7 linked regions of the Macaca mulatta genome follow. The protein of the gene in region 1 interacts with the protein of each later gene in a pairwise test. Links are inferred from orthologs where the notes say so. Each region holds a gene or a part of one and is shown in the gene's direction. Other genes may lie near its edges. The genes, in order: KIFC3, PRKAA2, FAM161A, HSBP1, LENG1, ZBTB8A and PSMB1.

Evidence for each region.
Region 2: the proteins of KIFC3 (region 1) and PRKAA2 interact in binary tests that used the Homo sapiens proteins (3 or more experiments, as listed by UniProt). The two-hybrid records come from large-scale screens. The link is inferred for Macaca mulatta from reciprocal best matches to the Homo sapiens genes KIFC3 and PRKAA2.
Region 3: the proteins of KIFC3 (region 1) and FAM161A interact in binary tests that used the Homo sapiens proteins (3 or more experiments, as listed by UniProt). The link is inferred for Macaca mulatta from reciprocal best matches to the Homo sapiens genes KIFC3 and FAM161A.
Region 4: the proteins of KIFC3 (region 1) and HSBP1 interact in binary tests that used the Homo sapiens proteins (3 or more experiments, as listed by UniProt). The two-hybrid records come from large-scale screens. The link is inferred for Macaca mulatta from reciprocal best matches to the Homo sapiens genes KIFC3 and HSBP1.
Region 5: the proteins of KIFC3 (region 1) and LENG1 interact in binary tests that used the Homo sapiens proteins (3 or more experiments, as listed by UniProt). The two-hybrid records come from large-scale screens. The link is inferred for Macaca mulatta from reciprocal best matches to the Homo sapiens genes KIFC3 and LENG1.
Region 6: the proteins of KIFC3 (region 1) and ZBTB8A interact in binary tests that used the Homo sapiens proteins (3 or more experiments, as listed by UniProt). The two-hybrid records come from large-scale screens. The link is inferred for Macaca mulatta from reciprocal best matches to the Homo sapiens genes KIFC3 and ZBTB8A.
Region 7: the proteins of KIFC3 (region 1) and PSMB1 interact in binary tests that used the Homo sapiens proteins (3 or more experiments, as listed by UniProt). The two-hybrid records come from large-scale screens. The link is inferred for Macaca mulatta from reciprocal best matches to the Homo sapiens genes KIFC3 and PSMB1.

The regions. Positions count from the first base shown.
Region 1 is NC_133425.1:53,376,640-53,380,837, reverse strand, and holds part of KIFC3 (kinesin-like protein KIFC3), read left to right. Parts: coding exon 1-64; intron 65-2,947; coding exon 2,948-3,059; intron 3,060-4,198. UniProt on the Homo sapiens protein: Minus-end microtubule-dependent motor protein. Involved in apically targeted transport. Required for zonula adherens maintenance.
Region 2 is NC_133406.1:183,917,944-183,920,796, reverse strand, and holds part of PRKAA2 (5'-AMP-activated protein kinase catalytic subunit alpha-2), read left to right. Parts: intron 1-974; coding exon 975-1,213; 3' UTR 1,214-2,853. UniProt on the Homo sapiens protein: Catalytic subunit of AMP-activated protein kinase (AMPK), an energy sensor protein kinase that plays a key role in regulating cellular energy metabolism.
Region 3 is NC_133418.1:62,900,002-62,904,199, forward strand, and holds part of FAM161A (protein FAM161A), read left to right. Parts: intron 1-2,514; coding exon 2,515-2,614; intron 2,615-4,198. UniProt on the Homo sapiens protein: Involved in ciliogenesis.
Region 4 is NC_133425.1:79,174,370-79,179,188, forward strand, and holds the start of HSBP1 (heat shock factor-binding protein 1), read left to right. Parts: upstream 1-1,643; 5' UTR 1,644-1,729; coding exon 1,730-1,774; intron 1,775-2,332; coding exon 2,333-2,399; intron 2,400-2,967; coding exon 2,968-3,086; 3' UTR 3,087-3,088; exon of another isoform or gene 3,089-3,262; intron 3,263-4,358; exon of another isoform or gene 4,359-4,819. UniProt on the Homo sapiens protein: Negative regulator of the heat shock response. Negatively affects HSF1 DNA-binding activity. May have a role in the suppression of the activation of the stress response during the aging process.
Region 5 is NC_133424.1:66,390,834-66,395,830, reverse strand, and holds the start of LENG1 (leukocyte receptor cluster member 1), read left to right. Parts: upstream 1-1,743; 5' UTR 1,744-1,766; coding exon 1,767-1,898; intron 1,899-3,012; coding exon 3,013-3,192; intron 3,193-4,452; coding exon 4,453-4,715; intron 4,716-4,959; exon of another isoform or gene 4,960-4,997. Other genes in the region: voltage-gated chloride channel TMC4, read left to right, coding at 231-361, 458-613, 919-997, 1,090-1,158.
Region 6 is NC_133406.1:208,334,395-208,339,121, reverse strand, and holds the start of ZBTB8A (zinc finger and BTB domain-containing protein 8A), read left to right. Parts: upstream 1-1,502; 5' UTR 1,503-1,568; intron 1,569-1,785; exon of another isoform or gene 1,786-1,827; 5' UTR 1,828-1,928; intron 1,929-4,727. UniProt on the Homo sapiens protein: May be involved in transcriptional regulation.
Region 7 is NC_133409.1:1,497,375-1,501,333, forward strand, and holds the start of PSMB1 (proteasome subunit beta type-1), read left to right. Parts: upstream 1-1,159; 5' UTR 1,160-1,235; coding exon 1,236-1,348; intron 1,349-3,959. UniProt on the Homo sapiens protein: Non-catalytic component of the 20S core proteasome complex involved in the proteolytic degradation of most intracellular proteins. This complex plays numerous essential roles within the cell by associating with different regulatory particles.

The DNA.
Region 1 (4,198 bases):
CAAGCGGCAGGTGCGCGGCTTCCCGCTGCTGCTGCAGGAGGCCCTCAGGAGTGTCAAGGCCGAGGTGAGCGAGGGCAGTGGGTGGGAGGGTCCAGGGTGAGGGAGCGCACTGGGAGAGGCACAACATCCACCCAGGGCTCCCCTCCAAAGCTCAGACAAAGCCCCTCAGACAGCAGCCCCTGCCCCACCCATCATGACTTACTGCTGCCCTTATAGGCCCTGTTTGAAACTAGACTGCTTAGGGCAGGCATTCGGCTATTTGTCTTACTATGATTCTTTAAACCAAACATGTTACAGATAACTTCATATTTCAAACATGCAGGCCAGGCGCGTTGGCTCACACCTGTAATTCCAACACTTTGGGAGGACAAGGCGGGCGGATCACAAGGTCAGGAGTTTGAGACCAGTCTGGCCAACATGGCGAAACTCCGTCTCTACTAAAATCACAAAAATTAGCTGGGCATGGTGGCAGGTGCCTGTTAATTCCAGTTACTGAGGAGGCTGAGGCAGGAGAATCACTTGAACCCGGGAGGTGGAGGTTGCAGTGAACCAAGATCGTGCCACTGCACTCTAGCCTGGGTGACAGCGAGACTCTATCTCAAAAACAAAAAACATGCTACATACATATTTTTAAAAAAATTATTTATTAGAGACAGGGTTCATTATGTTGCCCAGGCTGGTCTTGAACTCCTGGCTTCAAGCAGTCCTCCTGCCTTGGCCTCCCACAGTGCTGAGATTATTGGTGTGAGCCACCATGACTGGCCGATACAGTCTTATCTCTGTTAGGTTTAACTTAATTCTTTCAAGCTGTACTTGTATATATGAGAATAGCCAGTGCCTCTTAAGTGCCTCCTACATGTCGAGCTGTTTATAGCCGTTAGCTCCTTGAATTTGTATGATAGCTTTGCAAAGACTAATATATTTTGGGAACAAAATATAGTTCTTCTTTTTTTTTTTTTTTTTTTTGAGACGGAGTCTTGCTCTGTCGCCCAGGCTGGAGTGCAGTGGCGCGATCTTGGCTCACTGCAAGCTCCGCCTCCCGGGTTCACGCCATTCTCCTGCCTCAGCCTCCCGAGTAGCTAGGACTACAGGCGCCCACAACCGCGCCCGGCTAATTTTTTGTATTTTTAGTAGAGACGGGGTTTCACCGTGGTCTCGATCTCCTGACCTTGTGATCCGCCCGCCTCGGCCTCCCAAAGTGCTGGGATTACAGGCGTGAGCCACCGCGCCCGGCTATAGTTCTTCTTTAAAAGAGTATGTCAATAATACGTGGACATGGTGAAAAGTCAAACTCCATAGCGGGGCATCAGGTGAATAGGAAAGGCCTCTCTGCCACCCACCCAACTCCCCCAGTGTGGCCTCTCAGCATTTCTCCCTGACCATTCTGAGCATGCTTAAGCCAATTGATATGTGTGTGTGTGAATATATGGTAGGCCCTTCCCCCACTCACAGGTTCTGCGCTCCCAGATTCAAACAACCACAGATCAAAAATATTTGAAAAAGATTAAAAATAACAGTACAACATTTAAAAATAATAGAAGTAAAAATAACATATAACAACTATTTACACAGCATTTTTTTTTTTTTTTTTTGAGACAGTGTTTCGCTCTTGTTGCCCAGGCTGGAGTGCAATGGCGGGATCTCAGCTTACTGCAACCTCTACCTCCCGGGTTCAAGTGACTCTCCTGCCTCAGCCTCCTCAGTAGCTGGGATTACAGGCACATGCCACCATGCCCAGCTAGGTTTTTTTGTTGTTGTTGTTGATTTGTATTTTTAATAGAGGCAGGACTTCACCATGTTGGCCAGGCTGGTTTTGAACTCCTGACCTCAGGTGATCTGCTCACCTTGACCTCCCCAAGTGCTGGGATTACAGGCATGAGCCACCGCACCCAGCCCCTACCTGGCATTTTCATTGTATTAGGTATTGTAAGTAACCTGGAGATGATTTAAAGGACATGGGCGGGGCTGGGCACAGTGGCTCATGCCTGTAATCATAACACTTCAGGAGGCTGAGGCAGGAGGAGCACTTGAGCCCAGGAGTTCAAGACAAGTCTGGACAACATGGTGGGACCCCATCTCTACAAAAATAAAAAAACTAGCTGAGTGCAGTGTCCTGCACCTGTAGTCCCAGCTACTCTGGAGGCTGAGGTGGGAGGATCGCTTGGGCCTGGGAAGTCGAGGCTACAGTGAGCCAAGATAACACCATTCATGGTGAGTTTCCACCACGTCCACGGAGCTGTGATTGCACTCCAGCCTGGGCAACAGAGCAAGACCCTGTCTCAAAAAAGTAAAGTATATGGGAGGATATGTGTAGGTTACAGGCAAACACTATATCATTTTATATCTGGGGCTTGAGCATCTGTGGAGTTTTATATCCTCCATGGTTACCAAGGGACGACTGTATACACTGTATACACTTTCCTTCTACCCCAGAAAGGGGACGTGTGATTCTGTATACAGCGGGATACTGTATGTGTGATTTTGCATCTTCTTTCCCCCTGTGAAATGTAACTGGGAGATCTTTATAGATTCATGATTTAGATGGTATTATCCCTGTTTTCCAGATGTGAAAATTGAGGCTTAAAGACATTGAGTCAGCAGTCTCAGATCCCCAGCTACTCAGGGGCAGAGCTGGAATTTGAGTCTGGTTGAATCACAGTCAAGCACTCATGCTATGGTGTGGAGGCTGAGTCCTGGCTCTATGCTTATTAGCAGAGCAGCCTTGAGCTGTCAGCTTAGAGTCTCTGGGGCTCAGTTTCATCATCTGTAAAATGGGGATGGCAGCAGTACCTACCCAGAGGGGTGATTGCGATAGTCTGACATGTGATAGTGTGTGTCAGGTACTCAGCCAGGGGCAGGAGGCAGTGAGCACCCCTCAGGGGTGGGCAGTTGGGCCAGCAAGGCTGATGGAGCTGACCCCCTGACAGTGGTGTGCACCCCCCACCAGATAGGCCAGGCCATCGAGGAGGTCAACAGCAACAACCAGGAGCTGCTGCGCAAGTACCGCCGTGAGCTGCAGCTGCGCAAGAAGTGCCACAACGAGCTCGTGCGGCTGAAAGGTGACTGCAGGAGGGCTGGGGGTGGACACCAGCCTCGGGGCCTCGACCTGGCTTGGCAGTCATGCCTGGAGCTCACCCCACCGTTGAGGCGCTATTCTAATCCCATCTCTGTAGATAAGGAAACAGAGGCACAGAGAAGGCAGGGAACTTGCTCAAAGCCACAGGGATATTAAATGGTCCGCCTTGGATTTGAACTTGAGTCTGTCCAGCTCAGAAGCCCTGGCCCCAGTGCTTGGGCAGGTGACTCCCCAGGCCCTGGATGGCCGAGGGGTGTGGTACTGCAGCACTGGGTTGTTGGCAGCTGGAAAGCCACTTGTTCTGACCTGGGGCCTGGTCAAGCTTGAGACTCCACCATGCACTGCATGGAGCTCTAGAGTGCCTGCTCTGTGCCAGGTGCCGTTCCAGCCCGAGGCTATGGTCATGGCCCCACAGACTGCCTCCCGGTGCTCACTTTAGTATGAGAATGGACAATGGTGATTGTCAGGGAACCCCAACCCTGCCCCTTTCCAGGGCTGAGACAGGCTCTCCTGGGTATGGGACAGGCAAATGTGTTGAGGGGCTTCCCAGAGAAGGCAAAGTTAGAGCTGAGACCTGGATGGTGAGCTGGAACAGATGGGTGAAAAGGGAGGGCAGGTGGGCCATGCTGGAAGTGGGGGATGTTTCCTCTTCATTACAAGAACACAGGAATCCCAACGAAGGCTGGAAGTAGATGGTGGCATGACCAGCTCATGCTGCCAGATACCCTTGTGGCTGCCCCACTATCTGGGCCCTCAGATACACCATCAGTCATCACCTGCTGCCAGGCCTATATGCCCATCTGATTCCTAAGCCCTGTCCTGCCATTCAGAAGGCTCTTTGCTCACTGGGGCCCAAGCCCCTCATTGTCTAGATGAAGAAACTGAAGTCCAGGGAGGAAAAGAGAGTATCCGTTCTGGCGTCTCATCCTGACTGGGTGCAGTGCCTGAGCCCCACAACTGACCTTTCCTCCCCATCCCCAAGGCAGAGCTCCACCCCAGTCAGCTGGTCTGTTCAAGAAGAAATGTACTAAGTGAATGCATACTATAGTGTGAATGATGGATAACAGCTTTGTGGGCCCCCTTCCCCTAGGGGGCTGTGCTTAAAAGTCAGGGGACTCCTAG
Region 2 (2,853 bases), on another chromosome or scaffold:
CAAGTAAGGAACAATAGGGAAGTAGGTTTCACTTTTTAAAATTAACTGATTTGTCAGATTCTTTGTCACATTTCTCCATTCATATTTTATTAGTTAGTATTGTAGTGTCTAAACTTTCCCCTTCATCACCTTTCCTCATCCTGGGTGGCCAGGGTGACCAAATAGGTCTCCATTGGGATTTGGGTTGGATTTAGGTACTCATGGCAATCAAGGAGCCAGAGGCATCAGGGAAAATTGTCATGTCCAAGAACTTAGTGTGTGCTAAGAATTAAACTTGGGTAAACCAAATCTGATTATTCATTTCAGAGGCCCAAGTGGGATAAAACCAGAATAAACTGAGGGTCAGGTGCTGGATGGAACAAAAATGGAACTGAGTTTAGAGTTAGGGAAGTTGTTTTAAACAAAGTATTTAAATTTTACTCTTGAACTACCATCAAATATGTACGGTAGTGTTTATATGGATCCCAGACCTCTTTCATCGAAATTACATGTTGTTATTAAAACACAGATCCCTGTGTTTTGGTCCTGGGAATCGTAGAATCTGCAGTTTTAACAAGATTTCTCTCACTTTGCCCCCCACTTCCCCAAGGCAATATATGATGGTAACTTTTATTTTTACCTTAATGATTTTTTTTGTTGATATGCTAGAAGAAAATAAGTTGTCAAGGATACGCTTTCTTCACATGAAGAGATATCAGTTTGATTGATGCCAGTATCAATGCCCAATACTCCGATTTGAGAAGGACTTAGAGGCCACATTTTGGCTGTGTGCACGTGTTGTGATTGGTAGCGATGTTTGTTATGATTGTTGGAAGGAAGAGAACTGTGCTTCTAAAACACTGAAACATGACATTCATTATTAAGTTGCCTTTGCTCAGATGTGTTTACTTAATATTCTGAATATCATAAATTCATAGGAAGGGCTTGGGCATATATACTTTTCATATAAATTGCTCTTCTTTGGTCCATTTCAGATGAAGTAGTGGAGCAGAGGTCTGGTTCCTCAACACCTCAGCGTTCCTGTTCTGCTGCTGGCTTACACAGACCAAGATCAAGTTTTGATTCCACAACTGCAGAGAGCCATTCACTTTCTGGCTCTCTCACTGGCTCTTTGATCGGAAGCACATTGTCTTCAGTTTCACCTCGCCTGGGCAGTCACACCATGGATTTTTTTGAAATGTGTGCCAGTCTGATTACTACTTTAGCCCGTTGATCTGTCTCTAGTTTCTTTCTGTTATTGCACTATGAAAATCAGATATATTCTTTAAATTTTTATCTTACTTTTGGATAATATCCACTGCAATACTAATTGAGAGACATGAATTATATCCAGGGGACACACAATGCTATTGAAATTACTGAAAACAAAATATCTGACATCTTATTTACTTGTAGAAATCTGTAATTCTATTGTGCCTATGATAAATTCACATAGGCAGTATCTTTAATAGGTTAATATCGATGAAGATTTTTAATTACAATAATGAGTTCACTACGGATGATTAACACACCACACTGGCGAACCATCTCAATGTAAGGGTGGTTTGGCAACACCTCCTTGCTTTACTGTTTGGTGTAGGTAAATCCAGTTTACTTCCTAAATTTCAGTAGGCTTTATGCTGTGTTTATGCCCCCAATTTATTTTAACAAAAGAAGATTAAAAAGTAAAAGAACCACGAGTAAGATATTATTTAAATGTTGAAATCTTAAAAACCTGCCCCCAAGGTTTCAGAAGCCAAGTTCTTTTAACAGTATTTTTACAAATACTGCCTAGTATATTCAACAGAAGGACTGTGGTCATGTCACAGGTAACCACAATTTTCAGGTTTCTTAAAAGCAGCTGTAACTGACTCAGTATTTTATCTTGAGATTTCCCTGAATAATATATTTATCTTAAGAGCATTCGAGTTTCAAATTAGTATTGGAACACCTGGAATTGCAACAACTTTTGTCTTTTACATATACTTACATCTTTTAAAAAATGTCTTCAAAACCTACCTTTCTCAAATTCTTTTGGCTCTATTTATTTTTGCATTTCACCAAACAGTGATAAAATAGTTAAATGAAAAAAAGCAAGGTATCAACAGTCCCTTAAATGAGAATTATCTTTGATCTTTATTTTGTGTGTTAGATGTTAGGGTCCTGGTGCATCTCATAATGCTGATTCTTCATGGCAAGCCACTCCCTTCACCCCACCTATCCTAGTCACTCTTGTCTTTGTTCATTGTTTGATCCTCAGTGGTTGGTGGGTACAGCTTTGAATCTTTTCTAGTTCCAAGTTTGAAAACACTCTTCTGGCCCTAAGGGCTTTCGTACACTTCCAAAGCTTGATAGGCTATGACCTTCACTGTTGAACCTGATAGGGCAGGGAAGCTTTGAACATCAAGAAAAAATTTTTCTCTTCAATAAATAAATATGTGTATTCACACACCAGTGCTTTTAAGCAAAAACCAGTTTTTGTTTTGTTTTGTTTTGCTTTGTGCAGGTTTTTTTAAGATTAAAAAAACACAAACTATAGCAGGGTAGATAATAGTTTATGATTATATTTTGTTTTGTTTTAGTAAAAGTATTTAATTTTAAATTATGTGTAATTTATCTAATTTGTATTTATTTGTTATTTTTATGTTGTAATTAACACTTATTTACCTGGATTACCCTAAAAAACATTAAGCTCTTGAAAACAAAAAAATTACATTACCTTGACAGGTTTCTCTTTGACAAAAGTAATGTATGTTCTACCAAGAAGCAAATGAGAATATTAGACTAAGTTACTCCTGTGTTAGTGGAAAACAAGTGTGTCTATCTTTAAATATTCTTTGAATTAGGAGTTTGCATTGTGTCACATCATATGGC
Region 3 (4,198 bases), on another chromosome or scaffold:
CTATGTTGAGGAATACAAACATTTTCTATTGTGGCCTTAGTTAATAGTTATAATCTTATACCAGTATCTAATCTTGTTCTTTATATTATTTTTGATTGCAGTAAACTGATATATCAAAGAGCTTTGTTCTAAGGTTTGGATGAAATCTGATAGCACAAATTAACACATTAAACATCCATTATGTGATGTGTTCATTAGCACATATGTTAATGTTTAGTAGTATGTGTTGCATTTTGTTAATTTCAATATAAAAATAAAAATATTCACGGAATCCTTAGAACCCCTTCACTAGAATTCTGCAGTACAAAGTTTGAAAACCAGTGTTCCAGATGTTGCACATAAAAATGTTGATGTTTAAGTAGGAAAATATCTCCCTCAAAGCCAGGTAAGTAATATGATTTATTACTTTTTAATCTGATTTCTAAATATACATATGTGCTTTTAATTACAATGAGTATTCTTTTATAATTTAGCATTAATCCATTGACAAAGGGAGCTTAATTTGGTTAACTTGAGCATAATGTTTCTTAGAAATAGATTACTTACCCTCAGGAAGTAAACTATTAATAGCTTTTTTTTTTTTTTGAGACAGAGTCTTGCTCTGTCGCCCAGGCTGGATCGCCCAGGAGATCAAGCGATTCTCCTGCCTCAGCCTACAGAGTAGCTGGGATTACAGGCACTCACCACCACGCCCAGCTAATGTTTTTTTTTTTTAGTAGAGATGTGGTTTTACCATGTTGGCCAGGCTGGTCTCAAACTCCTGACCTCAGGTGATCCGCCAACCTCGGCCTCCCAAAATGCTGGGATTACAGGCGTGAGCCACCGCACCCGGACGATAGCTTTTTCATAACCCCAACTTGTGTATAATTAAGCCTAATTATTTGGAAGTATAATTGTTTTCCCCAATCCATTAATTTTATTATCTTGGTAGCAATTAAATAGTGTAGTTTAATTTATTATAGGACCTTGCCCAAATAGTGAGAACACTTACGGTAAATTTATATATTTTGGTTCCTGTTTCTCTTTATGTTATGTTTCCATGCGCTTTATTTCTCCTTTGACTTGCTCCCATTGAATTAACTTTGCCACTAACCTGTAGGAGATCTTATTTAGGGGGAAAAAATAACAGCAAAGGCTGGATGCCATGGCTCACATCTATAATCCCAGCGCCTTGGGAATCCAAGGCAGGAAGATTGCTTGAACCCAGGAGTTTGAGACCAGCCTGGTAAACATAATAAGACCCCCATTTCTACAAAAAATTTTAAAACATTAGCCAGGTGTGGTGGCATGCACCTGTAGTCCCACCTACTCGAGAGGCTAAGGTGGGAGGATCATCTGAGCCCAGGAAGTTGAAGCTGCAGTCAGCCATGATTGTACCACTGCACTCCAGCCTGCGCAGCAGAGCAAGAACCTGTCTCAAAAATAATAGGCCGGACGCGATGGCTCATGCCTGTAATCCCAGCACTTGGAAAGGCCGAGACAGGCAAATCACCTGAGGTCAGGAGTTCGAGACCAGCCTGGCCAACATGGTGAAACCCTCGTCTCTACTAAAAATACAGAAAATTAGCCAGGCATGGCGGTGCACGCCTGTAATCTCAGCTACTCAGAAGGCTGAGGCATGAGAATTGCATGAACCCAGGAGGTGGAGGTTGCAGTGAGCTGAGATGGCGCCACTGTGCCAGCCTGAACAACAGAATGAGACTCTGTCTCAAAACAAAAAACAAATAACAACAATAAAATAATAAATAAGAGCAAGGTCTTGTTTTCTTTTTTTTTTTTTTTTTTTTTTTTTTTTGAGACGGAGTCTTGCTCTGTCGCCCAGGCTGGGGTGCAGTGGCCGGATCTCAGCTCACTGCAACCTCCACCTCCCGGGTTTACGCCATTCTCCTGCCTCAGCCTCCCGAGTAGCTGGGACTACAGGCGCCCGCCACCTCGCCCGGCTAGTTTTTTGTATTTTTTAGTAGAGATGGGGTTTCACCGTGTTAGCCAGGATGGTCTCGATATCCTGACCTCGTGATCCACCCGTCTCGGCCTCCCAAAGTGCTGGGATTACAGGCTTGAGCCACCGCGCCCGGCCAAGGTCTTGTTTTCGGAAGAAATTCCTTACAGAGAAGATAGCTGATTTGTTCCAAAATGTTCTTGGTTTTATACACTTATAAATGAGACAAGAGGGCTTTCATTCATCTCTTCAGGTCAGTTTGAAGTCCCTTAACATATGTATGCCTTGGGGATTTCAGAAATTAAAGTGTTCAGACTATTCCTAGAGCATAATATGTGTGGTCTCAGAACCTAGGATTTTATTCTGCATTCCGTGAGAATTAACCAGTACAGAAGAGGAATCGAGGTAAACTGTGAACTGTGCTCATAATTTCTGATTTGTCAGCTAAGCTAAATGTTATTTCTTTTTTTTTTTTCATTGACTTTGTAGAGGTTGATAAGTTAAATGTTACATATGTAAGTTCTTATTTCTTAGATGATCTTTTAAAAAATTCCATTGCTTTTATTTAATTTTAGAAAGAGCGAAAAGGAAAGGATGAGAGAATACCAACGAGAACTAGAAGAAAGAGAAGAAAAATTAAAAAAGAGGCCACTGCTATTTGAAAGAGTTGCTCAGGTTGTGTTTATTGGAATTTAAGAGCTATTGTCAGTTGTTGTTGTTGTTGTTGTTGTTGTTGTTTTTTTACAGCTTTAGCTCCTAAATTTACAGTCCATTTTTCTTATGTGTTATATAACTGTTGGGATACATTATTGCTGTTTATGTTGGCTTCATCATATCAGCCAATGAGTAATTTTGCTTAAATCCGAGCATTTAACCAAGTGTGGTGGTGTGCACCTGTAGTCCCAGCTACTTGGGAGGCTGAGGTGGGCAAATTGCTTGAGCCCAAGAGTTTTGGTCCAACCTGTGCAACGTAGCAAGACCTCATCTCAAAAAAATAATCTGAACATTGAATCTTTTTGATGAAGCACATAAGTTTGATAAATAACATGCCAATCCAGTAGTTTGTAAAATAATTTTGCAAGCTGTTTTCTAATGGCTAGTCTTTTTTCAGTACAAACTTGGTTAGATATTAAGATGAGGCTTCATGATATCACTTGGAGGTCTTTGAAGAATTAAAAAAATGAAACAAAATGGCTAATTGAATCAGAGTTATTTCTGCCAGTTTTTTTTTAAGTGAGTTTGTAATTCACTCTTCTCTGCAATTACTAAAAAAACTTCCTTTCTATAAGAAAAACAAACTAGCCTTACAGACAGTAGACCCTGAGTTTACTCAGTTTATGCCCAGTTTTATAATCTTTCCCTTAAGGGAGATTTGTTCATTTTAGGTCATCTTCTCCTTTATCCCATAGGGGAGGCATCTGTATGGGTGACATGGCTTAACAATTGACAAAATCACTGGAGGTTGCAGGTTCTAAATTGTGAATTTGAAGCTGTTATAATTGGACAATAGACAGTTGGAGAATTTACCTGTAACAGATGAGCATGGTTACAGAACTGTACTTGTCAGTGACTCAGTGAGGACAGTGGACATGTATTGTGAGTGAATCTGCACGTTACAGTCTCTCAAAGTTACATAATCTTTTTGCTCACTGATCTAGATATAATTTTATGTAATGCCTTTCATTTTAAGGGATGGATTTTTTTAACATCTTTATTTCAACTTTAGGGGGAAAAATCATTTTAAGCTGTTATACATTATAATCATAAAGTGATTGGCTTTTGCCCGAAGACATTATCTCCAGCTTTGAACTGCAAGTTTTTTGTTTTTGCTTTTTACACTGCTTCTGGGTTTTTCTTATTTTAATTTTTTTCAACTTTTATTTTAAATTCAAGGGGTACATGTGCAGGTTTGTTACAAGGGTATGCCAGGTGCTATGGCTCATGCCTGTAATCCCAGCCAGCATTTTGGGAGGCCGAGGCAGGTGGATCACCTGAGGTCAGGGGTTCGAGACCAGCCTGGCCAACATGCTGAAACCTCATCTCTACTGAAAATACAAAAATTAGCCGGGCATGGTTTTGTGTGCCTGTAATCCCAACTACTTGGGAGGCTGAGGCAGGAGAATTGCTTGAACTTGGGAGGCGGAGGTTGCAGTGAGCTGAGATCGCATCATTGCACTCCAGCCTGAGCAACAAGAGCGAAATTCCATCTCAAAAAAAAAAAAAAAGGGGGTATATTGTGTGAGCTGGGGTTTGGGGTAT
Region 4 (4,819 bases), about 26 Mb from region 1:
ATTATATCACAGGGTCTTCTGAGGATTAAGTTAAAACACTGAGTATGTTTATTTCAAGTAGTCGGGTGAAGTACTAGCCAAACACCAGTTGACAACAGCCAAATACAAAAAAAGTTGTGCATCCTTACACAGAAAGGAAGATCTCTCTGTAGGGAAGGATGAGGTGTGTAGGGTGAGACGCAAAGGTGTAAGTGAGGGGGAAGGGGTGGTGAAGGGAGTTGAGTCTTATGCCTCAAGGCCAACTGGATTCCAGGTTTGTTAGAGACACTGGTGGGTCTCACAGAGGCGTTTGAACAAGAGCAACTCCATCTCGAATAGGAGCTGGGTAAACTGAGGCTGAGACCTACTGGGCTGCATTCCCAGACAGTTAAAAGGATTGTAAGTCACAGGATTGGGATAGGAGGTCAGCACAAGGTACAGGTCATAAAGACCTTGCTGATAAAACAGCTTGCAGTAAAGAAGCCGGCCAAAACCCACCAAAACCAGGATGGCAATGAGAATGAACCCTGTTTGTCCTCATTGCTACACTCCCATTAGCGCCATGACAGTATACAAATGCCATGGCAACATCAAGAAGTTACCCTATATGGTCTAAAAAGGGGAGGTATGAATCACCCACCCCTTGTTTAGCATACAATCAAGAAATAACCATAAAAATGAGCAACCAGCAGCCCTCGGGGCTCTGTCTATGGAGTAATCATTCTTTTATTCCTTCACTTTCTTAAACTTGCTTTCACTTTACAGACTCGCCCTGAATTCTTTCTTGCAGGAGATCCAAGAACCCCATCTCTTGGGGTCTGGATCAGGACCCTTTCCTGTAACAGGTCTAACCCCTTACAGACTCTCCCCACCTAAACTCAAACTGGAGCTGACCCTCACACACAGCAGTCCTTAAATGAGATGTGTGAAAGTTTCCAGAACTTTCACACATCTCCTTGCCAGGCCCGCAGTCAAGGACTCTCCTATCCCCTTGCCCTGAGACCCAATCCTAAAGACCATCTGTGGGGTTGGAACTAGAGGTTCCACCTCAGCAGTGCCCACCTCCTTCAACACCCAAACCCACAGTCTAACCCTGATGCCGGAAGCCTTCCCCACTCAACAGTAGGCATCGCGTGGAGTGCAAGAAGCCAGACATGATGGACAGCTTCCTGTCTGAATCCCCTCATATGAACCTGACGGGCACAATGAACCTGCAGGGTTAAACTCCGGACGCTGGCCACCCTCAGGGTGGAGATGACAGGACAGGACAGGACAGGACAGGGGCCATGGGGCTTCCGGGGGGCTCATGTTCCTTGACTTGGGGGCAGTTACAAGGGTATAGTGGGTCTTGTTGAAGGACAAAAGTTCAGTAAGTTCGTCCTGACAGGCCAAAGAAACCCAGAGCCGTCTTTCGACTGACTACAGCCTGGAATGGGGGCCAAGGCCACTCCCTGCCTCTATTGCTCCATTTCTGAGTTGGTCTCACTTCCCACCCCACCAACGGCACGCTGGGGAGGGGAGGGGCTATGCAAAAGAGGGCGGGGAGCGTGGGGTGGGGCCGCTCCTTGGAACGGAAGCGCTCGGCCTCGAGGCCCTTCCGGTGCGGGAGAAACTACTACTCCCATAATGCCCCGCGGTCCCGCGAGCAGCCAGTCTCGTCGCGAGAAGCAGCGGGCGGGGGCGTCTGAGCCGACAAACGGAAGTGTAGGTTACGGTCTGAGACATAACCGCCAAGCTGGGCGTCGGGGAGATGGCCGAGACTGACCCCAAGACCGTGCAGGACCTCACCTCGGTGGTAAGGGACGGCTGTGAGGGCCCGAGGCCGCGGCCTTCTCGGGCGGCGCCGGGCCAGGCCCTGCTGGACAGAGGCGCGCCCACCGCACCCGCGCTTGGCGTCTGCCGAGGCCCGGTTTCTGGAAGCGTCTCTGGCCGAGGCTCCCGGCCACCTTGACCCCCTGGGCGCTCGGTGCGGACCCGTCTACCCGCGAGCGCTCCTAAGCCCGACCCCCTCCGGTAACCCCATTCACCTGTCGCGAACGCCCCCCGGGTCCCTCCTGCCTCGCTCTGACACCCTCCCCGCCCTTCGACTCCTTACACACCCCTGGGTGCCTCAGCCCGGCAGAAACAGCCTAAAGACCCTGAACTTTGAGTCGCAGCGGCCTCCCCAGCCCACCAGTCTAATTAGACAGGTGGGAAAACGGAAGCCCCGAGAAGGAAGATCCTTGCTGAAGGCGGCACAGCTGCCCAGAGGCAGAAATGGGGCTGGAACCCGAGATCAGAGCTCACGTCCTGATCCCAGGAAGGTGTCTCAGGATCAGTGTGGACCGTGTTTGTTTGTTTCGGTTTTTCTTAGGTGCAGACACTCCTGCAGCAGATGCAAGATAAATTTCAGACCATGTCTGACCAGATCATTGGGAGAAATATCCTTTTTATCTGTAGTGGGCCTCCTGTGGGCCTTTGGAGCCTCTTTGCCGGGCAGCGGTGGGGATAAATGAGTAGTTTTCAGGCCAGCTTCAGCCAGTCACTTACAGAATTTGAGCTTGGATTGTACTGTGTTTCCAAGAAGGACTGCGCCGAGAGCTCGGGGTACAGCTGAGCTAGACAGATCCCTGGCTCAAGGAGCGTACATCTACCAATCCTAATAGCTGGTGTGGTTGACCATGGACTGTGAACTAAGCGCTTTTGTGTGTGTCTTTCTTTTGATACTCAGCATGACCTTATGAGTGGGTTGTAGTGTTACCATCTTTAGCAAATGCATAAATTGAGGTTTAGGGGTTCCATCACTAGTAAGGGTCAGGGCCGGAAACCGATGCTGAGTAGCCATGCCCCAGAGGCCTATACTCTTACCCACCAGCCTGTAACAGTGTCTAAAGGAAATTGGAAGACCGGTTTCCCTAAAATCGTTGTGTTTAAGGCCGTAGTCCACAGGGACGGAAGGAAAGGGCTCAATGAGGAGATGTTGGCACGCGTTGTCTTTAACTTCACCACTTGATGATATGAGTAGTCGCATTGATGATCTGGAGAAGAACATCGCAGACCTCATGACACAGGCTGGGGTGGAGGAACTGGAAGGTGAAAACAAGATACCTGCCACACAAAAGAGTTGAAGGTGAGGAAGGGGGCAATTTTTTTTTTCGTTTCTTTTTTTCTTTTCTTTTTTTTTTTTTTTTTTTAACACGGAGTTTTGCTCTTGTTGCCCAGGCTGGAGTGCAATGGCACAATCTCGGCTCACCACAACCTTTGTCTCCTGGGTTCAAGGGATTCTCCTGCCTCAGCCTCCCGAGTAGCTGGGATTACAGGCTTGTGCCACGACGCCCAGCTAATTTTGTATTCTTAGTAGAGATGGGGTTTCTCCATGTTGGTCAGGCTGGTCTCGAATTCTGACCTCAAGTGATCCGCCCACCTCAGCCTCTGGAAGTACTGGGATTACAGGTGTGAGCCACCGTGCCCGGCCTTTTTTTTTTTTTTTTTTTCCCTTAAAAGAATAGAACCTGTAAATATAATTTTGATGTAGTCAGACATTCTGTAGATCAGTTCCCAGCCATGATCCCAGCAAACATCCCTGTATTCTTTACCCGCTGTGGACTTCATGTTTTGGAATTTTTCATGCCAAACTCATTCTTTACACTGAATTTATTTTCCCAGGTTTTATTAATTAGACTTCTGTCACTGTTAGTTAAGACAACTGGCTAACATTAGATAACCACTGAGTTTTTATCATTCCAGCTAATAAAGGGGTTTTTGTTGGCCTATAAAGCCTGTCACTGGAAGATTTTCCATTGCTTTTCTTGGGAGGCGGGGGGCGGTGGAGGGGATCGCTGATAAGTCGCCCACATTACCACCTTCTTAAATGGCTTAAATTCTGGAGACTTTCTTGGTAACTTGACATTGGTAAACTAGATTGTGGCCACATTAAGCTTTTACTCTGGAGTTCATTTAAATTTCCACTGAATAGTTTCAGATGTCAGAGGAAAGCCCATTAAAACTACCCAATAGCAAGATAGGTAAATGTACACTATCACTCAGCACTGAGTGCACAGTCCTTTTCCTCTGTATATGTGAAAAATAAGTTTTAAACTCCCTTTTCTCATGTTTCATTTATAACGTTTTAATTCTCTATAAAAATGAATGTTACCCAGGGAGGCAGAGGTTGCAGTTGAGATCGCGCCACTGCACTCCAGCCTGGGCGACAGAGTGAGATTCGTCTCAAAAAAAAAAACGGTTGCTGGCACGTGGTGGCTCATGCCTGTAATCCCAGCACTTTGGGAGGCAAAGGCGCGCAGATCACTTGATGTGAGGAGCTCGAGACCAGCCTGGCCAACATGGTGAAACCCTGTCTCTACAAAAATGGGCGTGGTGGTGCACGCCTGTAATCCCAGCTACTCGGCAGGCTGAGACAGGAGAATCCTTTGAACCCAGGAGGCAGAGTTTGCAGTGAGCCATGATCATGCTACTGCACTCCAGCCTGGGTGATAGAGCAAGACTCTGTCTCAAAAAAAAAATAAAAAAATAAATCAAAATCCTGAGTATTTTTAGATAGGTAGTGTACCAAGCAGAATATACAGTAAAAGATGCCTAGTTTCCTATTTTCTGGGCTTGCTCTGGACCACATTTTAAGTTATGCGAAATACAGATTTGGGATATTGAAGACAGACTCTTAACTTTGCTTTTATCTTTACGATAGGTAGGGTTTATTCACTATGTGAGTACATCACATAACTGCTTTCTATGGGTGATGTCATCATTATTCTTATCCAGAGATAATTTGGAAAAATGTCCTACCAGTCTTCGATGCATCTGTGGGTCTCTTTTTATGTTATGTGGCAGCCAAAACTCCCAT
Region 5 (4,997 bases), on another chromosome or scaffold:
TCTCAAAAACAGCGAAACAAATTAGCCGGGAGTGGTGGTGCACACCTGTAATCCCAGCTACTTGGGAGGCTGAGACACGAGAATAGCTTGAACCCAGGAGGGGAGGCTGCAGTGAGCGCCACTGCACTCTCGCCTGGGCCACAGAGCGAGACTGTCTCAAAAAAAAAAAAAAAAAGAGGCACAGATTCTTGTGTTTCAGATCCCCTTTCTCCGTGCCTTACCCCCACCAGCTTACCCTCTTCTCCACCTGCTCTCCGGCTGCCCGCACCTTCCGGGCCTCCACGGCGAATTTCTTTTTCCCCTTGGTTCTTCTCCTGGGTCTGGCCATCTCCAGCGTTCCCCTGCTTTACAGCATCTTCCTGTAAGTGCGAGAGGTTCCCGCCTCTCTCCCTCCCTCTCCCCCCATTCAGTGTTCAGACTCCTGGCTCTACTTGAACCCAGCCTGTCTTGACTTCAGGATCCCGCCTTCTAAGCCGTGTGGTCCATTCCGGGGGCAGTCGTCCATCTGGGCCCAGATCCCTGAGTCTATTTCCAGCCTCCCTGAGACCACCCAGAACTTCCTCTTCTTCCTGGGGACCCAGGCTTTTGCTGCGCCCCTTCTGCTGATCTCCAGGTGAGGTGGACCAGACTTCTGGGTCTGGGTTTGAATGCGTGTGATCTGGGGGCCACCACCTGCGTCCAAGAGAGGAAAGGCTTGGGGGTGGGAGCAGGCAATGTACTGAGTCTGAGGGAGGAGGCCTAGGCTCCTGGACTGCTGGGTCCGAAGGAGGAGGTGGGCGGGACTTAGGACTCCTGGATCTGAACGCGGAGGTGCTGGGAGACTGAACTCCTTGAGCCTGGACGAGGAGGGACTTAGGGGTCCACATCCCTGACTTCGAAGAGCGTGTCAGGAGTGGCTTCCGTTCCTGTCTCCTCCAGCATCCTGATGGCGTACACTGTGGCTCGGGCTAACTCCTACGGACGCCTCATCTCTGAGCTCAAACGTCAGAGGGAGACGGTGAGCCAGGCGGGTCCCTGAGAGGGCCCCCGGGGAACACGGAGAGGGGCTGGGGAAGAGGGCTGTCACACCTCCACCTCTCTTTGCCGCAGGAGGCGCAGAATAAAGTCTTCCTGGCACGGCGCGCTGTGGCGCTGACCTCCACCGAACCGGCTCTTTGACCCCCGCAGCTCACGCCCCACTTTCAGACCCCAGGCCCATTGTAAGCCTAGGTCACAACATCTGTAAACTAGGAGAACTGGAGAAGACTCCACGCCCTTCCAGCTTTGATATCTGGAGATTTCCAGGGCCCCTCGCCGCCACGTCCCTGACTCTCGGGTGATCTTTCTTGTATCAATAAATACAGCCGAGGTTGCTGAGCGCGCTTTGAAATCTGCGTCCTGAAGGTGGGGGCAGGGCTACCGCAGGGCAGGAGCCAATCAAATGTATGGGCATGTTTGTCGGTGCGGAGCGCACTTCCGCAAGGAGACTTGACGGTCATGTCGACCAATCGACGGCCGCATGTGGTAGCATCGGGGCGGGCCAACTTATGATTGGTTCAGATCTGTGATAAGAGGCGGTTGCTAGGGGATACCACGAGCCGAACGCCTAACATTCGCTGTGAAAAGGACGTCTCAGCCAATCACCTGTCGTTACAGGCCAGGGGGCCGTACCAACTAATTCGGAACCAATCTGCGGTCGAAGTAGGGACAAGAGGAAGGGGGGCATCCTCTCGCCAATCGGAAGTGCAAAGAGGCGGGCGTGCCAGTCCCTGGACAGCTACGACGCCATGAATATCTTGCCCAAGAAGAGCTGGCACGTCCGGAATAAGGACAATGTCGCCCGCGTGCGGCGTGACGAGGCCCAGGCCCGGGAGGAGGAGAAGGAGCGTGAGCGGAGGGCGCTGCTGGCTCAGCAAGAGGTAAGCTCGGAGGCCGGCCGGGCTGACCGCCGGAGCCCAGCGCGCACGCGCCGCGGTTGGGGGCCGGAAGCGGAGGCGTTGCGCAGGCTCAGTGTGCCCCGTGTGAAATTCGGGACCAGGCGCCGATCCCGTTTTCGAGGACGTTGCTCTGCAAACCTTGTGGCCACTTCCACGAAACCTCCCTTGATCTCGCCTTCGTCTTAGTTTCCCCCCACTGATGTATTTCACATGGCTGGAACAGTGTCTAGCACAAAAGAGCAGCTTAAAAACATTTAATGAATACATGAGCGCTTGGACAGTTCAAGGAAATTCGGATCACGTTTTAGTTTGCCTGCGCAGTTTATTTATTGAGCACCTATTGTATGCTAACTACATGCAGAGCGCCTGACTTGCGGAATCCCCAGGAGGCACTGTTCGTTCTTAGAGGGGCACTGTCATCTCCGTTGCACGGAGTGAGATGGCTTCAGTGAGGGGAAGGCACATTTAAGGAGAGGGGGACAGCCAGGCTCCACGCCATCGGGCGAGCCCTTTCCTGCACCGCCCCCTAGACACATACACACAAACACGGGCTTTCTGTATGGCTCCTTAAATCTGTTTGGTGTACACCCAACTTTCAGTTCCTTAGCTAGTCTGATCCTCCACAGTGGGTGGGAGGTAGTCTGGGTTTTTAGAATCTCAGTAGGCTGCTGAGCGCTGTTTGAAATCTGCGTCCCGAAGGCGGGGGACAGGGCTTCAGCAGTCGACTTGGGGTAGTGACTTGGAGCCATGGCTAGAATTCAGATCGTCTGGCCTAATGCAGTTTGGTCTACCTTTATGGCTGTTTTAATTGTCTCACTTGAGGTTAGGAACCCCTTTGGTTTAGGCCAGGGACCTCCTTCCAGCCATCCTTGATGACCCGTGGTTTACGATTTGAAAGGCAGTTTACAAAACCCAGGCGTTGCCTCATCTGCCTACCCTCACCCGCAGCTAGGACAGGTGCCTCTTTTAGGCGTCTAGTGCTCCCTTTCTTATAACCCCAGCACCCTGGACTGCCATTTTCTGTGGTGGGCACCAGACTCACAGTTCTTGAATCACCTCTAGGTTCTGAATGCCCTGCCTATAACTTTCTCCCCAGGCCCGTACAGAATTCCTACGAAAGAAAGCCAGACATCAGAACTCACTGCCTGAGCTTGAAGCAGCAGAGGCGGGAGCCCCAAGTTCTGGCCCTGTGGACCTGTTTCGGGAGCTGCTGGAGGAAGGGAAAGGAGTGATCAGAGGCAATAAAGAGTACGAGGAAGAAAAGCGACAGGAGAAAGTAAGCTGGCCTCACCCACTTCATTAGAGGAGCCATGAATCGAGTTGGGGGGAGAGGGCACTTTAGCCACTGCTTGTGATCAAGGTCAAACGAGAACGAACACACAGAATTTAGAACCATACCAAAGCATGACACTTAAGAAGTGTTGCCATCTGGGCACCCACAGGGCTTGGAGGTAGATGCTAGAGGTCCCCAGCTGCTAGGCAAACTGCTCAGTTCTCAAAACTGGAGGGGTCTGAAACCTTGATAGGCTTTTAAAAATGTAAATCAGCCAGCTGTGGCTCATGCCTGTAATCCCAGCACTTTGGGAGGCTGAGGCGGGTGGATCACCTGAGGTCAGGAGTTCAAGACCAGCCTGGTCAACATGGTATCTCTAAAAATACAAAAAAATAAGCCAAGTGTGGTGGTGCACGCCTGTAATCCAGCTACTTGGAGGCTGAAGCAGGAGAATCGCTTGACCTGGGAGGTGGAAGTTGCAGTGAGCTGAGATTGCGCCACTGCACTCCAGCCCAGGTGACAGAGCGAGACCCCATCTCAAAAAAAAAAAGAGAAAAAAAAAAAAAGGCGAATCATTCGCCTCTTGCCTTTTGGCTAAGATCAAGTGTAAAAAGTATGTCTGGTCGTGCATGGTGGCTCACACCTGTAATCCCAGCACATTGGGAGGCCAAGGTGGATGGATCACCTGAGGTCAGGAGTTCAAGACCAGCCTGGCCAAACATGGCAAAACCCCGTCTGTACTAAAAATACAAAAATTAGCCGGGCATGGTGGTGCGTGCCTGTAATCCCAGCTACTAGGGGGGCTGAGGCAGGAGGATTGCTTGAACCTGGGAGGCAGAGGTTGCAGTGAGCCGAGATGGTGCCACTACACTCGAGCCTGGGCAACAGAGCGAGACTGCATCTCAAAAAAAAACAGGTACATGAGCTCTTGTCACTCACCTGCTGTCTCTGGACTTGCTGACCCCACCCATGGCTCCTCTGCTTTGCTTGATCCCTTCAGGCTTCTCTTCAAGTCTCTCTGCAAAGATGCCTGCCTCTGAACACTCAAGTGGCTCCACTTGTCCCCTCCTTCCCCTGCTGTTACCTGCCACTGTCCCCCCACGGGGAACTTGGCCTCTGTTGGTGTCTTCCATCCCCAGCACCTGGTACAACTGGTTCATGACAAGCCTTAGGTACCTGTTTGCTTAGATTCCTATGTCAGGGAGACACACCTGACACCTTGAAAGATTATATCCCATCTCTTGTATTTCCTGGCCCCCTCAGGAGAGGCAAGAGAAAGCTCTGGGCATCCTGACGTACCTGGGCCAGAGTGCAGCGGAGGCACAGACTCAACCCCCTTGGTACCAGCTACCCCCAGAGCGAGGGGGGCCCCCTCCTGGCCCAGCCCCAGATGAGAAGATCAAGAGCCGTCTGGACCCTCTTCGGGAGATGCAGAAGCATCTGGGGAAGAAGAGACGGCACAGCGGTGAAGGCAATTGCAGCAGAAAGGAAAAGAAGGAGGGGTCTGAGAAGCTGCGACCCAAGGAGTAAGAAGGAAGACCCTCCTCGGCAGACCAGGGCCCAGACTTTCAGGGCTTGGCAGCAGCCCAGCATGGGCACTGCAGGGTCTCTGGTCAGGACAACCAGGGACTCGGTGAAGGGCTGGCTGGGTGAAGTGGTTCTCAACATGTGGTCCAGGAAGCCCCAGGGGTCCTGCCACCCTTTCCCGGGGTGCCGTGGTATCAAGCCTATTTTCCTGACACTGTTGGCCTTTTTCACTCGCATTCTCAGGCACATAGTGCAGGTTTCCAGAGGCTGTGTGATGAGAA
Region 6 (4,727 bases), on another chromosome or scaffold:
AGTGAGCCGAGATCCTGCCACTGTACTCCAGCCTGGGCAACAGAGGGAGACTCTGTCTCAAAAAAAAAAAAAAAAAAAAAAAAAAAAAAAATTGGAATGGATTATCTTCCTCAAGATTTGAACTGAAGAGGTGGAAACAGGGATGGGGGTGGGGTAGGGTGGCAGTCAGAGTTTAAGAGACTAGCACTGGTTAATGATGGAGCCCCAACATAGAGAAACAAGCTCCCAAAGCTAGCAGAATGAAGATGAGGGACAAAACTGTCATTACCTCTTCCTTGCAACAAAGTTTTTTGTTTGTTTGTTTGTTTGTTTGAGATGGAGTCTTGCTCTGTCACCCATGCTGGAGTGCGGTGGCACGATCTCGGCTCACTGCAACCTCCACCTCCTGGATTCAAGCCATTCTCCTGGTTCAGCTGCCCCAGTAGCTCGGATTACAGGCACGCACCACTATGCCCAGCTACTTTTTATATTTAGTAGAAGGGTTGCACCATGTTGGCCAGGCTGGTCTCGAACTCCTGACCTCGTGATCCGCCTGCCTTGGCCTACCAAAGTGCTGAGATTACAGGCAAGAGCCACCGCGCCCGGCCACAACTAAGAGTTTATCACCAACCTGATGTGCTCTCTTGAGGAATAAGTTTGTGGAACTCTTTTGCATTAATCTTTAATTAAGGCTAAAATCAAACCTTTGGCTATAACCATGTCCAGGTCTTTCTGGGGGAATTCTCAATGGGGGGCGCTAGCAGAGTAATCTGAGTACATCCAATATACCTGATACCTAATGGTTTTCAAATATGTTTCTACTTACCTGTTCAGAAGGCAAGGAAACACAACTAAATAGCAAAGCACCTCTGCAGTGACACAGAAGTGACATTAAGAGACAATTGTGAAGATCTTGCATCCTCAAAATGCATAATTATTCCTGAAATCAAAGTTACAGACTGTCCAATATGACTGATTATGAACAGGAGAGGAATCCATTAAAAGCTAAACCCAAGTTTTGATAATTTGAACCTTTTTCCTCCAGTTTTACTATAACACAGTACTTTTCAGTACCTGACCCCAGCATAAGGAACTAGGAAACTAATTTATAGAAGTAATGCATCTATAGTAACAGTGAAAATCCACTGATTTACTATTTTAGCAAATGTATAACCTGATATCTGTACTCTAAATATTAGAGATGTAAATTTGTCAGAGGAAGCTTGGTATACAATGAATGCTTGTATTGGAAAAGACGGAACTTGCTGTTTTTACTAATTTTGTATTTCTCTGGACTTAAACTAGGAATTATGTTCTCTTAGCTTCTCTGGGTTTTCCTCTTCAAATGAAATGCTTCTGACCTGTAGAGGTTTAGAAAAGGTTATCCTCAACTAAAACAACTGCTTCAATACAAGAGAAAACTCTGTGGAAATCTTTTGCATTTGACGTTGCTAAACTTAAGTACAATAATGTCACATGTACTTATACAGTAATTGTGGGCACGCCTAAGTCCCTCCCTCTTTCCTAAACCAAATTCCCCAGATCCTAGAAATCCAGCCCTTCTGCCCTCCGGAGGCGCCTTTCCCAACGTAAAGTACAATTTTAAATTTCAGCTCCTGACTAAAATCATGATCCGCAGTCAACTGCTAGAGAATCTGGGCACCCCGGTGCCTCTGGAGCGTGCAGCGGGTGTGGGCAAGGGCAGGGGGAGTGGGCGAAGCTGCTGGTTGGTGCCTGAAATCTGTGCGTTGCCCCTTTAATTGTGTCCCCAGCCCTCGGGCGTTTCTGTCCAACGCCCACGTCAGCAAATACCTTTTGTTTCTCTCACGTTGGGGCTACTTGTTTTAGGGCGCAAAGGAACGGCCTCGAAAGGGGGTCCTTCCCCAGCCGAGAACCAAGAATCTTCCCCCGGCCCGCGCGCGCGACCGGCCGGTGCGCCGCGGCCCGCGGTAAGTGGCGGCGCGCGGCGCCGGCGGAGGGCGGGCGGGCGTCGGGGCTGCCCGGGACCCGCCGCGAGCCTGGCCGCGGGCGGAGGCGCCGCGGGCTCTCACGGCCCGGGCGGCGGCGGTGCTGAGATGCGGGCCCTGGGCGCGCCTCACCAAGACGTCCCCGGGCCGGGAGCGCGGCGGGAGGCGCCGAGGCGAGCGGGCGCCATTTGCAGCCCGGGGCGCAGCGGCGGCGGCGGCGGCGGCGCCGGCTCCGAGGGGCTGTGGGCGGCCACGGAGGACGCGCGGGCGGCGGCGGCGGGCCGAGCCCGGGGCGGCGGCGGGCGTTGGTGGGCACCGGCTCCCGGCCGCCCCTCCCCGCGCCCGGCCGCGCCGCCCAGCCCGCCAGGCCGGCCCCTCCTGCGCGCCCGGGAGGGGCTGCGGGACAATGGCCGCGCCGTCGCCGCCCGCGCCCGCCTAGCCGCCCGGCCCGGCCCGGGGAAAGGCGGGAAGGCGCGCGGAGCCTCCTGGCGGCGGCGGCGGGAAGGCGGCGGGGACGGCGCCGGGCGTGTCTGGAGCCGTCGAGCGCCGCGGACTCCGGAGGGGCTCGGGCTGCGCGGCGCAAAAACGGGCGGCCGCCGGGGGGGCGCGCGAGGAGGGCAGGGCCGGGGCCGGAGCCGGAGCCTCTGCGGGCGCGGCCAGGGGCGCTGCCGGTGAGCCTGGCTCCCAGGGCAGTAGCCCGAATTTCTCGGTACAGCCTCCATCCTTGGTTTTATGTCAAGATGCGACATCTGGGCTTAGAAAACCGAGGGCTAACTCACCGCGCCTAACCAATGTTGAGCTCCAACTATTTGCTTCTGGACGGAACCGTACATGCTCATCTCTACCCATGCTGACCGCCTCTTTTGTGAGTTAGTCAGCGGCTTGTTCCCTTCCCCTTCAGATGCGCTTATTTATCGCTGATTGTTCCAATGGCCCTACTCCACATCATTCTGAGACGCGTTTGGAAGCGGTAGATTTACACACACACCTGGTGGGCTTCTAACCACACGTCAGTATCACTATGCTTGATAAACCTCTATATTTGCACAACTTTAAATGGAGTGCTTTCACCTATATGAATTATTTCACTTAATTTCACATAAAACAACCACTTAGGCTGACGGTAATTCCACTTTGCAAATGAGGGAACACGTGTGAAGCATGGCGTTTCACCTCTAGGCCAGGGTGACATAGCCACCCAGGACCTCCTGTTCCCGTCCTGCCTTCCCTCCTAAGGTACCTCCAGAGGAGTCTTTAGAAGGGCCAATCTTACACAGCGCTTCCCTGCACTGAAAACCTTAACTGATCTTTTTCAGGAACGCCTCCAAAATCCCCAGCAAGCTTCTGCTCCAGTCTTAATCTCCTCCATGCCTCAGGTATGGATGCATTTGTGGACTGGAGCAAGAGCCCCTCACTGATAAGCAGGGATCAGATGTCTTTATTCCTGGGAACCTCTCTGGCCACACAAGTGGCAACTGGGAAGTGAGAATCTGGCTTAGGGCCCTTGACCAAATGGGTGTCTGGGTGGATTGTGCTCAAAAATGTCAGCAGGAGGCATAATGAGTAGGGACTCCAGGAAGGAGGCCAAGCCACTAACCCTTATCTCCAAGCCCTGAAATCACCAGCTTTGCTGTTGATAATGATTTGAGGCCATGAAAAACTTTGTAAGATAGAGTAATATTGATTCATCCTGTATCATTTAAATCTAATTTTTAGATACAACTATGTCTAATAGATTTAACTCAGTGACACAATGATATGTTAATCATATTTAAAGGATTTGATGTGTTTGATTCCCTTGAATGAAGCTTTTGTTACTTTTGTGCTCAAAATTGGTCAGTGGTTCCCCATCTTACGCAGTTTAAAAGCCAAAAGCTCCATAATAGTCTATGCAGCCTTACAGCATCTGGTCTCACTATGTCCTACTTCTCTCATGATTTGCTTTCCCTTTCTGACTCCATATCCCATTGCTTCCCCGCTGCTCACCTCAGGGCCTTTGCGCTTGCTTTTCCCTTTGCCTGAAATACTGTTTCCCCAGACACCCACATGACTCTTACTTCCTTTGGACTTTACCCAAATACCATCTTCTCAATGAGGCTTTCCCCAACTATAGTTTTGATTCTCTTAAGTGTTTTTATTCTAAATCTTTTCTGTCTCATGCCATTTGTGCAGCTATAAAAATACTTTGGGACTGGGTAATTACACAGAACAGAAATTTATTTCTCACACTTCTGGAGGCTGGGAAGTCCAGGCAGTTTGGTGCCTAGTGAGGGCTGCTCTTTGCTTCCAAGATGGCACCGCGTTGCTGCATCCTCTGGATGGGAGGACTGCTGTGTCTTCACGTGGCAGAAGGGATAGAAGGGCAAGAGGGGCCAAACTCACTCCCTCAGGTCCTTTTATAAGGGCGTTAATTCCATCCATGAGGGCAGAGCCTTCGTGGCCCAATCACCTCCTAAAGGTGATACTGTTGCAATAGGGATGAGTTTTTTTTTTTTTTTTTTTTTTTTGAGACAGAGTCTTGCTCTGTCGCCCAGGCTGGAGTGCAGTGGCGCTATCTCGACTCACTGCAAGCTCCGCCTCCCGGGTTCACGCCATTCTCCTGCTTCAGCCTCTCCAGTAGCTGGGGCTACAGGTGCCCACCACCACGCCTGGCTAATTTTTTTGTATTTTTTAGTAGAGATGGGGTTTCACCGTGTTAGCCAGGATGGTCTTGATCTCCTGACCTCTGATCCGCCCGCCTTGGCCTCCCAAAGTGCTGGTATTACAGGCGTGAGCCACCGT
Region 7 (3,959 bases), on another chromosome or scaffold:
GTCGCCTCCGCCCGAACCCTCAGAAAAGAGTACAAGCTGTTACCTGGGTCACTGCAAAGATGACCATGGGCCAGAGGAAACGAAGTTTCACAGCCGGCGGCCCAGGCGCCCGCCACAGCGAACCTGCCTGACCTCACTGAACTCCTGGCGCGCGTTGATAATGTCACTTCCGCCAGCTCTGCCCTCGGCTTCAGCGAGTTGCTCCCACTAGGGCCGAGGCCCTGGGAAGTGTGGGCATAGGTCACTTCCTGTGTTTCCATAGGCGCGGAGCTTAAGGTAAGGAGGGGCGAAGCTCTTGAGGAGTTCCGGGGCGGGGCCGCCGTGCCACAGCCGTCTCTAATTGGCCCTTGCTGGACATAGGACAGATCGATTTTTAAATGGTTATATGTGTGTGTGTTTTGTTGTTGTGGTGGTGGTTTAAAGCAACTAGCGGTGTTACCTTTGGCAAGTTACCTGACCTCTCCCCCGCAGTTTCTTCTGTAAAATTGAATAGTGATAATAGTGCTTACCGTTGGGCTGTCGGGAGATTGACAGAGACTGACAGTACTTGGCACTCAGTAAGCGCGTGCTCCTTACCTGTGCAAGAACGCTAGCTGATCTTCAAGGGTGTAGAATGACAAGGAACACTAAGCAAAACAAACGGCTTGTGTTTACACACGCATTTATATTCAGTTCTGCCACTCCCGTTTCATGCACTGTGGTCACAAGGCTCTATCCGCAGTTGTTTCTTAGTGGGACTAGAACTTAGTGGGAACTGATTTTCCCTTCTGTAGTTCATTGTGGCGTAGTCACATGTTATACTGCTCGTTTTCTTTGTACTCTTTATTATCAGTGAGGTTGTGAGCTCTTTAAGGATAGGAAATGTTATATACATTTTTTATTAGCCAGGACAATTAACGCGCTCACCGTTATTCGAGTTGGCGTTGCGCCATAGTTCTGCCAATGTTTTTGTATGGTCAGACTTAAATTTTCGTCCATTGGGGTGAATTCCAATGTTTTCTTCGACGGGGGGCGGGAAACCTTTACTTTTCTGTCAGCTTTTTTGGAATGGGCGGGACCCAACTACCAAAGGGACAGGCCGCCCTGCAGCCCTCCAGGAGCAACGACTAGCGCAAGATAGAGAGGCCGGGAGCGAACTTCAGGAGAAGCCGGAAGTGGCGTAACGTCCGGTCAAGGCAGCCATCTCGCCGTGAGACAGCAGGTGTCGGAGCTGGAGCTGCAGGCGCAGCCGTGCGATGTTGTCCTCCGTAGCCATGTATTCGGCTCCTGGCAGAGACTTGGGGATGGAGCCGCACGGAGCCGCGGGCCCTTTGCAGCTGCGATTTTCACCCTACGCTTTCAACGGAGGGTAAAAACCCCAGAGAGCTCCGCTTTCACTTTCGCCCTTCCCCCATTTGCTGAAGCCTGTTTAGGAGTCACCGCCGTCAAGGCGCTGCCCCGGTCCCCTGCAGGCCTCAGAACCCTGAGCTGAGTGGGTCCGCACAAGGCCGGTCTCCCTGCCGTCCTCTCATGCCCTGTGTTTCCTTCTTCAGGCTCGCTTTGGTCAAGTTTACTTGGTGATTGCGATACAGCCTTGGTTTTTAGGGTTTCCCATTACAGCCCTGTCATTTGGGTTTTTATGTGGACCGGAACTCCATGCTCCTTGCTGCTGTACGACGGTAAAGTAGAAATTGAAACATAGCCTCTGCTCTGTGGAAGACCAAACTGGACCTCATGTACACGTTCCTTATGCCAGCAGGCGAGGGTAGAGGTTTAGCGTCTGAAACTTAAAAGTTAGGATTGTTTGGTCTGTGTTGTTAGATGCGTAGCTGGGTTGGTAGCGGAAACGTCTTAATTGTAGCCGCCTGATTTCTGTTATTTCTAATTGTAGCAGTTTGATCATTTTATTTCAAATAGAAGGTGGGATTGGTTGAGCAAACTTAGTTTCATAGATAAGTGCTTTTTTTTTCTTTGTCAGGAGGAGTCTCACTCTGTTGCCCAGGCTGGAGTGCAGTGACCTGATCTCAGCTCCCTGCAAGTTCCGCCTCCCGGGTTCACGCCATTCTCCTGCCTCAGCCTCCCAAGTAACTGGGACTACAGGCGCCCGCCACCACGGCCGGCTAATTTTTTGTGTTTTTAGTAGAGACGGGGTTTCACCGTATTAGCCAGGATGGTCTCGATCTCCTGACCTCGTGATCCGCCCGCCTCAGCCTCCCAAAGTGCTGGGATTACAGGCATGAGCCACCGCGCCCGGCTTTTTTTTTTTTTTTTTTTTTTTTTTTTTTTTTTTTTAAACGTTTAGCTTAAGTTCAGGAAAACAAAATACTCAGAAGATGGACCTTTTAATATGTGTGATCTTGTATGTTGTGTTCAAGTTTTGGTTTTTATTTCAATTACCAACTTTATCTTGAGTAATATAATTTTCCGTGGTGGCACGCCAGAGATACAGGGTTATAGAAAGATGCTTTGTTTAAGACTCTTGACAGGGAAGAGCTGTAAATTGAAGCAGTGGTTATAGTTACTAATCAAGCCTTGTACATTAAAATATATACATTCAATTTGAATGAACCGATGGTTCTTAAAGAAAACAAAAAGTATTGGCTGGGCACTGTAGCTCGCACCTGTAATCCCAGGACTTTGGGACGCTAAGGCAGGAGGATTATCGCTTGAGGCCAGGAGTTCAAGACCAGCCTGCGCAACATAGCAAGACCCCATCTCTACAAAAATAAATTTTAAAAACAAAGCAAAAATGTTAATTGGTTCCTCATAAATTTGAAATATTAATGCATATTTTTGGAGTGTGTTAGAAAGACAATGAAAGTCTGATTTTAGTCTTAGTTCTGCCACTAAAGGACAGTCAGGTCTTTGGTTACTTCTGAACTTCTTGAACCTAAATTTTCTTCATTAGTAGCTTCATAGTTTTTGGTGAGAATCGAGAGAGATGTATTTGGTAAATTGCAAGCCGTCATCTTATTTAATCATCATGAAAAGTGAATGTTCGATGATGTTAGCATCCTAGGGTCATATTAGACATTAAACTGTCAGGGTCAGAGAGCTGGTGTGAAGTTGAGCCAGGACTTAGCTATTTCACCACTGAGTTTATTCATGCTTTTCCATTATACTCCTTAACACTTCCTGTGATGACTAATTAAGTTGTACATTGTAGGGAGGGTTATTAGACCCATTTCATAACGCTATTCTCTATAAATAAGAATTTTCAGTGTTCAGTATGCCCTACTCATTACTCACTTTTTAATCCCTAGTAATCCAGTTTAAGCCATTACTGCCCTAAAAATTACTTAGAACTTTCTGATTACTTTTTCTCAGTCATTGTTCTTTTTCTTTAGTGTTTACTGCAGCTGACTTTCAGGCAGCCTTTGCTTCCACAAAATGAGGCCTCATTCTCTTTTTCTACTCTGTCTTTAAATGTAGTTAAACAAGTCATTGGCCCCCTTGTTTATCACTCAGCACTCTTTCATGTCTCATCGCTGGGAGGATAACTCCCAAATCTGGTTTTCCAGTTCTGCCTCTCATGAGTCCCTCAATTCTGGCTTCTTCGGTAAAATATTTCTAACTGGTTTTTCTGCTCTCACAATAACTCGAGACAGCTAACAAAACAAAAAGCAAGCTAATTATTCCCCTCAATCTCCTCTTCTCCTTTTTTATTATTATTTTTTGAGACAGAGTCTCACTCTGTCACCCAGGCCGGAGTGCAGTGGTGCAATCTTGGCTCACTGCAACCTCCGCCTCCTGGGTTCAAGCTTTCTGCCTTAGCCTCCCGAGCAGCTGGGATTACAGGTGCCTGCCACCATGCCTGGCTAACTTTTCTATTTTTAGTAGAGATGGGGTTTCACCATGTTGGCCAGGCTGGTCTCGAACTCTTGACCTCAGGCAATTTGCCCGCCTCAGCCTCCCAAAGTGCTGGGATTACAGGTGTGAGCCACCGTGCCCGGCCTCCTCTGCTCTCCTTTAAAATACTT